Daphnia pulex: one gene and its partner. The protein of the gene in region 1 interacts with the protein of each later gene in a pairwise test. Links are inferred from orthologs where the notes say so. Each region holds a gene or a part of one and is shown in the gene's direction. Other genes may lie near its edges. The genes, in order: baculoviral IAP repeat-containing protein 7-like and caspase-1-like.

Region 1 (4,360 bases):
AAACAACAAGCTGTAGCATGGAAAATTTTACCTTGATCAAATAATTATGCAATTTACCTATTTAAATAAGAGTCAAAACTCCTTAACTACAACGGGACAGCCAAGAGTTTATGACTACTGAAATTGAGTTATGTTGCACACAAGTGGTATAAATTTAGGCACTAACAGTAACTTTTGAGCGACGACAAGAATAGCTATAAAATGATTTACCTGAAGAGCCCTTATTTAGGAAGAATGCATCCGTCTGGCTGATGGCAATGACTGCCATGAGAAGGCAATTGCACAGTAAAACCTGGAAATATCTTAATGTTATGTAACTAAAATTTGATAACAAGTATATTAGTTGCCTACCTTCTTCATTGCTACTACTTGAGAAGAAATACTAGATGTGTTCAAGTCTTCAGCTCAGTTCAGCGTCTGCTTTCAGTCATAAATCTTTTCTCCTTATATACGTCTTCACCAGGTCTTCGCCACTAATGACCACACTGCCTGAAATCTTTCTATTGGTCTTTCTTTCTTTTTTTCTGCGTGTTTGAAACTTCATGACAGTAAAGAATTGGAGGGTGAGAGAGAGCGCGACGATGCGCTTGTTGACTGAGGCTCAATAAGTAAGTGGAGTAGGGCCTTCTTCGATTCAAAAAAGGGCAACAAAAACCTAAGATCGCACTTTTCGGTCCTTTGCTGCGGCACAATCACATCAACAGCGGCAAAAGCAATGAGATTTTAAGGCATTAAACACTTTCGCTTTTTCAATTGTCCGCCTTCGAATGGGGTGTAGTAAGGACATTTCGATTTCTCTTTTTTATGCGCGTTCATGATGAAATGAGAATTCTCATCTTCAACACGACAAACAATTATTTCGACATTCAGTTCGTCGTTTGTTTGTTTGAAAGTCGGCGTCTCCCTCCGAAATGGTTTAATAAATTTGAGTTTGAAGTGAATAGATCATCAACATTCACTGTAAATAGATGCGAGAATCAACCGTTTGTGTCCGAATCAAAATAAATAGTCCATTCAAAATTTAAGCCGTTATCATTGTTTGTTTCTATTGTTTCTTGATGAGAATACGACCGTCAAAAAATTTGACAGACTGCTCATTTCGTCCAACTTTTATTATCATTGAAAAGCTTATCAGGTCATGCTTTCATATTTTATTCAAATTTTCTAGTTTTTTCTGTAATCTTCTTTTTTTAATCATTTATAAGAAAAAACTTAAGAAACTAACAAAACTAACAAAACTTAAAACTAACATTTATAAAACAAAGTTTTATTTTTCTTAAAAACAGAATATCCAAAGTCCAAATACTTGGCAACGTCACATTGCTCTGTTTTGACACAATGGTGTCAGTATTACTGACGTCGTGTCTGTTTTTCTTTTTTCATCATGCCTCAAGAATGGATAACCCTTAGACGAGAAGATATTCGTTTGCGAACTTTTAACGAACACTTCTCTGCCACATTTTTAAGCCCCCTCTTACTTGCTAAAGCCGGTTTCTTCTATGTGGGAGTTGACGATCAAGTTCAATGCGCGTTCTGCAGAGGAGTGGTTAGAGATTGGGAAATAAATGACGACCCAAGAAGAGAGCATCAACGTTTGTTTCCGTCGTGCGCTTTCATATTAGGTTGGTCTGTTAAATTCGGAAATTGCAATATGACATTAATTTGTGGTCCGTTGGTTAGGTTTACCAGTAGGTAATATACCTTTGGGTGAAAATCCATCCACTGTACATCTGAATGTAGAACGAACTGCTTCTCTACCTGTACCTCAGCAGTTGAACATAGGATTTGGAGCTACCAGGCAGTTTACTTCACAATTTAGACCAAATGCCTCACCAGACACTGGTATGACAACCACTAATTACTTCATTATCTATTTGGTTTACAATACAATTTTGTTTCATAGAATTGAGATCTCCAGACAGTATGCAATTGAATGCATTAGTAGGAGAAAATTTGGAAGAGTTGGGCATAACTAAACATAGCGGACCTCGGTATTCCTCATATGCTACTTTGGATGCACGACTTAAAAGTTATAATAACTGGCCTTCCCACCTGAAGCAAACTCCAAGAGCAATGGCTCTATCTGGTTTCTTCCATCTTGGTACAAATAGCACAAAAAATTCTGGTTTTATTTTGTTAATTTAATTTATGGATTTAGGGACCAACGATCATGTCAATTGTTTTCATTGTGGATCGGGCTTAAGAAACTGGGAACCAGAAGACGACCCATGGCTTGAACACGCTCGATGGTTCCCTCAGTGTCGCTTTGTTATGCTGATGAAAGGAGAACAGTACATTAAAGAAGCGACAGAATCCATGTCCAATCATCCTAAAGCCAAGCCTTCCCTGTCGGCATCAGTGGGAAATTCACGTGCCTCACCAAGAGAGGCTTCAGAAGCTGATCTGCGAAGTTTACTAGGAACTCCCATAGTTCAGACTGTTCTAGCAATGGGCGTTGACCTTTCTCGTGTTAGGCAGGCCCTAAAATACCAAATTCGTACTACTGGGCAGCCTTTCAACACAGTTGATTCGCTTCTTGAGGCAGCTATTGAAATTCAGCATCACAGCGAGCATCGCCAGTCGTTGGAAGATGGCAAGTAAGTCTTTTGCGTGTTCACTTCTCAACTCGAATTAGACATTTCATTGATTCCTTTCACCCTTCTTAGCTATGAAGATGTGGACTGGCCGTCAGCTGTACCTTCCTCTTCTCGTCGACGTGTAACATCAACTGGATATACCCTTGTAGAACTTCCCGTTTCTCTAAGTACACCGAGCGATGAACATAGAACAAATACCAATGAGAACGTACCAATTGTACCATTGGTTTCGGAAGTAAGATCTGAAACCCCGCTTTCGCATCGGGAAATGGATACTCTTAGTAAGCCAGAAAATCCTGAAAAAATAAAAGAACAAAGTTGTGCCCTAGAGGTATCAGCTTCATGTGAAACATCCACACAATCCGTCGATAGAAGTAATGTATTAATTTTCAGACATTTTGAAATAATTAATTTGACCAACATTTTATTTGTTGTAGCCCAAATTTTGGAAGAGGAGATTCGTCGCCTGAAAGAAGCTCGTCTCTGCAAAGTATGTCTTGACGAGGAAGTGTCAATTGCATATATTCCTTGTGGACACATTGTGACTTGTGTCCAATGCGCGGCAGGTAAACTACAATATTTTGATCAAATAATGTTACTAAAATTTTAGCGTTTTAATAAATTTTTTTTTTTTTTTAGCTCTCGAACACTGTCCTCTTTGTCGAAAAAATATTAAAGGAACAGTCCGCATCTTCTTGTCTTAAGTAGTTCATTTGGATTCGTCTAAATGAATTGGCGATCGCAAAGACGAACTATAGATATTTTCTGAAGTACAGTTCTAAGTTCTGGAACAACTTAGTACTTGTAAATTTAAAAAATTCCACTGTTAATAAGTATTTAGTATGGATTTTTGTTTATTATTTAAATTCTTGCAAATGTTCTTGCAAACCCACCGGCTTTAGTTTAAAAAATAAACGGAAAGTTATTCAAATCTCAAATAACTCAAGTTCGAAATATTTCAGTGATAGCAAGAAGCTTCTGGTATTCGATGGCCACTTCAACCGTGAAACCGTGAAGGTCTCTTTTCAACCGAAACAGGAAGTTGAATGTTAAAGGTGCGAGTGCGTGTATGGCCAATAGTCAAGTCTTGCGTGTTCACCAAGCATCACGTCCTAGAGTAAGGTCTGTAACATAATTTCAGAACAAAACAAACATTTTAAAAAAAGTTAAGATTCGCAATAACAAAGAACGCGTTCGTTTCGCTGTGTGCATTGCCAGTAGACAAAAACAAGCCTTCATTCCTAAATATCTTATCGATGTGATTAGGCCTACTGTCTCTAACTGTTGAGTGTAACCCACTTGTTAATTTGATATGCGTAGCCACTAACGAATAACGGTATTTGATTTCCAGCAGGCAATGTGTTCTCCCAAGGCGGCGGTTTTCTTCATCCTCCTTGTTCATTCGATCAGGTCGGACAGTCATGGTGACCTCGAAAAATCAAATAGTAAGTTCCTCATTCGTGCATGTACTTACTTCTCTATTATCAAGATGAAATCAGGATGCCATTTGTAATTATATGATATTCATGAACGAATCAGGATTTAAAAGAATCGTTCTCGGCAATGGATCAGCAATTCTTCCTCCTCGGCCATTACCCATTGGAAACTTGTCTAGCAATCATGGAGAGGCAGATTGCTACTTTGTTGGCACTCATTTCTATTGTATTAGTCAATTCCTGGTACTATATAGCCTATAATGAATGAATGAGTGGGATCCTACCGGATGAAAGTTTTAAAGACTTAAAATTTTTAACAAGTTTCTC
Region 2 (3,617 bases), on another chromosome or scaffold:
TTTAACATGCAACTGCGACTCTGCTGCGCCTATTCAGTTATCCGACGATGGTTCAATATCATCTTAAAAGATTCTTTTGAATGTTAAATAACCGACCAACTATTTTTAACAAACGCAGGAGTCATTACTGATAAAACTGTTCTGCCCATTACTCGGCTGAATTTTGGTCGAACTCAACTAGAGACTTCATCAGGTGTCCACACACTTGGCCGTTTTGAATGTACCGGACAAGTGACTGTCACTGGAATGCCAAAGTCATGCGAAGATTTGTGGAGAAAGGGGCACACCTTGAGTGGATTATATTCCGTTATGGGAAGAGCAATGATTGAAGCTGTTTATTGCGATTTTAATAAACTGCCCTTTGACTCAGGTATGAGCTTCTTTAATACAAGTTCACGTATTGTAAACTTGTAACGATTTATAGTTCTACATAGTAATACATAATCAAATTTGCAGGTTTCCAGACGTGGATCGGTTACGCGGATGTTAAATCTTCTCCTACCTACTTCTACGCTCAAAGAAACGTAACCTTTAACGAAACTAAGATCCCTATTCCATTCGACGTTGAAATACTAAACGTGGGAGGAGCCATGAATTTTACATCAGGCAAATTCACGGCACCGGTCGCGGGCAAGTACTTTTTCTCCTTCACGGGACTGATACGATTTACGGGATCTTCGACAATACAGAATTGTTATCTTTATTTGTATAAGAACGGGGATCGAATTGCAAGGAGTTATTCTGACGAGATCAGCGCCACAGTGCAAGATGAAACCCTTTCCCTTCAATCAACGTTGAATTTGAATAAGGGAGATCAAATCTGGTTAGAAATTGATTACTTAACACCAGGGACGACTTTGAATGGTCCATTCAGCCAATTTAATGGTTTCCTGCTCGAGGAAGACATTTCCCAGTTTGTAAAAACGTTGATGGTGTGATGATTGCATGATTCGGAATGAAAATGTTCATTTAAAATTCAAGACAGAAATTATTTACTGTGCGATTGAAAATGACTAATTGACTTTCTTTGCTGATTTCTAACAATAAAACTATTTGAACAAAAAATGCCAGACTTGTAGTTTCTCATTTTGGAAACAACAAACAAGGAATGAGATGCATTCGCAATTAACATTACGATGCAGTTGCTATGGAGTTCAACACACCATAGCCTAAGTGATTCATCCCTTGATTCTAGAAAAAGATAAAAAATCATTTTATAAATTATTTATTTTTTTAAACAGATTGCTCCAACCCGCCAACCGTCCGGGAAACTGCTTGGTCATTTCGTCAGTAGGTTGCGCTGATGTCTTTTTCAACTCGAATAAAGGAGGCAGAGGCAGGTTCGTTAAAATCAATGCACAGAGATAGGAACTGTCAAGTAAACTGTGATTGTGAAAAAATCTATTGCTAAATAGTATAAAACTGTTTGAGTCATCTTGGTTGAGTCATTCCTGAACACTAACCAACAAGTGGCATAATATTGTTTTGTAAAATAAAATGGAGGAAGTTGGAATTCAGAATAATGAATTGGGTTCAAAACATGATGAACCTGATGTTAAATTCAAACAGTAAGTAAAAAAAAAGAAAGGCTTGAAACTATTTGACACTCAAGTAATCACTAATCACATTTATTTTTTGTCTTTGAAGGCCTGGCTTGAATACCGACCTTCCCAGCTTTGCTTTCCTACCTGTTGATCGTGACTCAGAAGCATATAACATGAATCATGTGAAGCGAGGGAAGGCTTGCATCTTTAATCACGAAAACTTCAACCCCAATCTTGATTTAAAACCACGTGCTGGAACATCTAAAGACAGAGACAACCTGTACATGAGGTTGAGGGAACTGGACTTTGATGTCACATATTTCAATGATCTGACATTCAATGAACTAAATACTGAAATAATTAAATGTAAGCAATTTCCCATAGTTGAATTTCATTTTCAATTTTGATTTATTTGTGATTTTTTTTTCAGTGGCAAGTGAGGATCACTCTGAACACGATTGTGTTCTCGTTGCATTGATGTCCCATGGTGATGATGGCATATTGTATGCCAAAGACCAGCAGTACAAACCTGAAAAATTGTGGTCCCACTTTACGTCTGACCAATGTCCCACATTGGCTGGAAAACCAAAGCTTTTCTTTATTCAGGTAAACATTATTTAAAAAAATGGACTTCACTGTCCCCAAATACCTTGAGTTAATTATGGTTTACTTTGAAAAGGCTTGCCAGGGGGACAGATTGGATGCAGGTACAACAATGTTGCCCAGAGTCACAGAAACCGATTCGCCCAGTGCAGTGGCTTACAAAATACCCACTCACGCGGATTTCCTGATTGCGTATTCAACTGTTCCGGGTAAAAATGACATTGTGAAAAACGTACCTAATTTACTCCCAATGACTTACTCCATTGCCATTTTGTGGGCGCCCCGGTTGCCTTTTTAGGTTTCTATTCCTGGCGCAATACGACTAACGGATCTTGGTTCGTCCAGGCGTTGTGCTACGTGCTGTCGGAGCGCGGCCGAGAAGACGATCTACTCTCCTTGATGACGACCGTCTCTCGAATAGTCTCGATCGGCTTCGAATCCAATACGCCTCAAGACTCGAACATGCACCAGCGCAAGCAAATTCCCTGCGTCACGAGTCTCTTGACTCGGAAAATTTATTTCAAGCGCAAGACGACTCGCCGTATTTGATTGAAAAGCTACGAAACAAGAAAATGTTGCCTTGTTCTTCTCCTTATCAAGAATTCTTCACAACGATTTAAGTTCGATCGCACTTTCTATCTCATCAAGTAAGTCTTTCAGACGACAATTCAATACTTTGCTCACTTTTTTATTTGCTAAAGTGCTGTGTTTGTATCAATGCAATGCGAAGCCGTTTGTATACACGGGCAAACCATTTCGGTTAAATGGACGGACTGGGCGTCAAGTTATTTCGAGAAACAAACGAGGTCGACACCGTGTTCACGTTTTCTTTTTCTTTTTTGGAAATGGTCAGCGATTAACTTACAAGTCCGTCTCATGAATGAAGGGCCGTTGCAGGGGCTTCCTTTTGTGGCAGTGCAGAGCTGTAAAACTAACGGCCGGTGGATTTAGTGTCCAACAAAGAGGACTTAAAATGTGGATGAGCTCTTAAGCTCTACCTATAACAGTCCATTTTGATCAGCAGGTCTCTTCATTAATGCTGCATGCTTCTCTATTTCTCTTGTCCGTCGTTGCTGGCCCGGCCCCCCCCCCCCCCTATCGTCTACAAATAAGCTGCGGGGAGAGGAACAGGGGAATATGGACAGGCAACATGAGCTCAGTTGGGCATCTCCAACGTCTCCATAAATCTAAAATTCCGATCAGATATCCGAGTTGAACTGTCTCTCTCTCTCTCTCTTAACTTTTATTTTTCCCCCTTTATTTTCTGTTGGAAAACCACGGGTGTGGCTTTAAATATTCCGCCATAAATAGATTTTTTTTTTTCGACTTTAGACCGGTAGCCCAAAACGTAATAGAAACCAAACAAATATCTCCAAGGCAACAGCAGGCAGACCAGCAGCAGCAGCCATCTCCCCCTTCATTTATGATAGGATATCCCGTTCCAATTGGCTCTAGCTATTAGTACTCTAC

What was found.
Region 2: the proteins of baculoviral IAP repeat-containing protein 7-like (region 1) and caspase-1-like interact in binary tests that used the Drosophila melanogaster proteins (3 or more experiments, as listed by UniProt). The link is inferred for Daphnia pulex from reciprocal best matches to the Drosophila melanogaster genes Diap2 and Drice.

The regions. Positions count from the first base shown.
Region 1 is NC_060023.1:3,932,862-3,937,221, forward strand, and holds baculoviral IAP repeat-containing protein 7-like, read left to right. Parts: upstream 1-1,309; 5' UTR 1,310-1,384; coding exon 1,385-1,622; intron 1,623-1,680; coding exon 1,681-1,842; intron 1,843-1,903; coding exon 1,904-2,101; intron 2,102-2,158; coding exon 2,159-2,597; intron 2,598-2,666; coding exon 2,667-3,163; intron 3,164-3,236; coding exon 3,237-3,301; 3' UTR 3,302-3,535; downstream 3,536-4,360. Other genes in the region: loricrin-like, read right to left, coding at 211-292, 352-360; uncharacterized protein LOC124198279, read left to right, coding at 3,955-4,042, 4,137-4,276.
Region 2 is NC_060028.1:7,606,981-7,610,597, reverse strand, and holds caspase-1-like, read left to right. Parts: upstream 1-1,310; 5' UTR 1,311-1,497; coding exon 1,498-1,568; intron 1,569-1,647; coding exon 1,648-1,910; intron 1,911-1,974; coding exon 1,975-2,150; intron 2,151-2,223; coding exon 2,224-2,356; intron 2,357-2,445; coding exon 2,446-2,696; 3' UTR 2,697-2,912; downstream 2,913-3,617. Other genes in the region: uncharacterized protein LOC124208790, read left to right, coding at 1-50, 119-370, 457-938.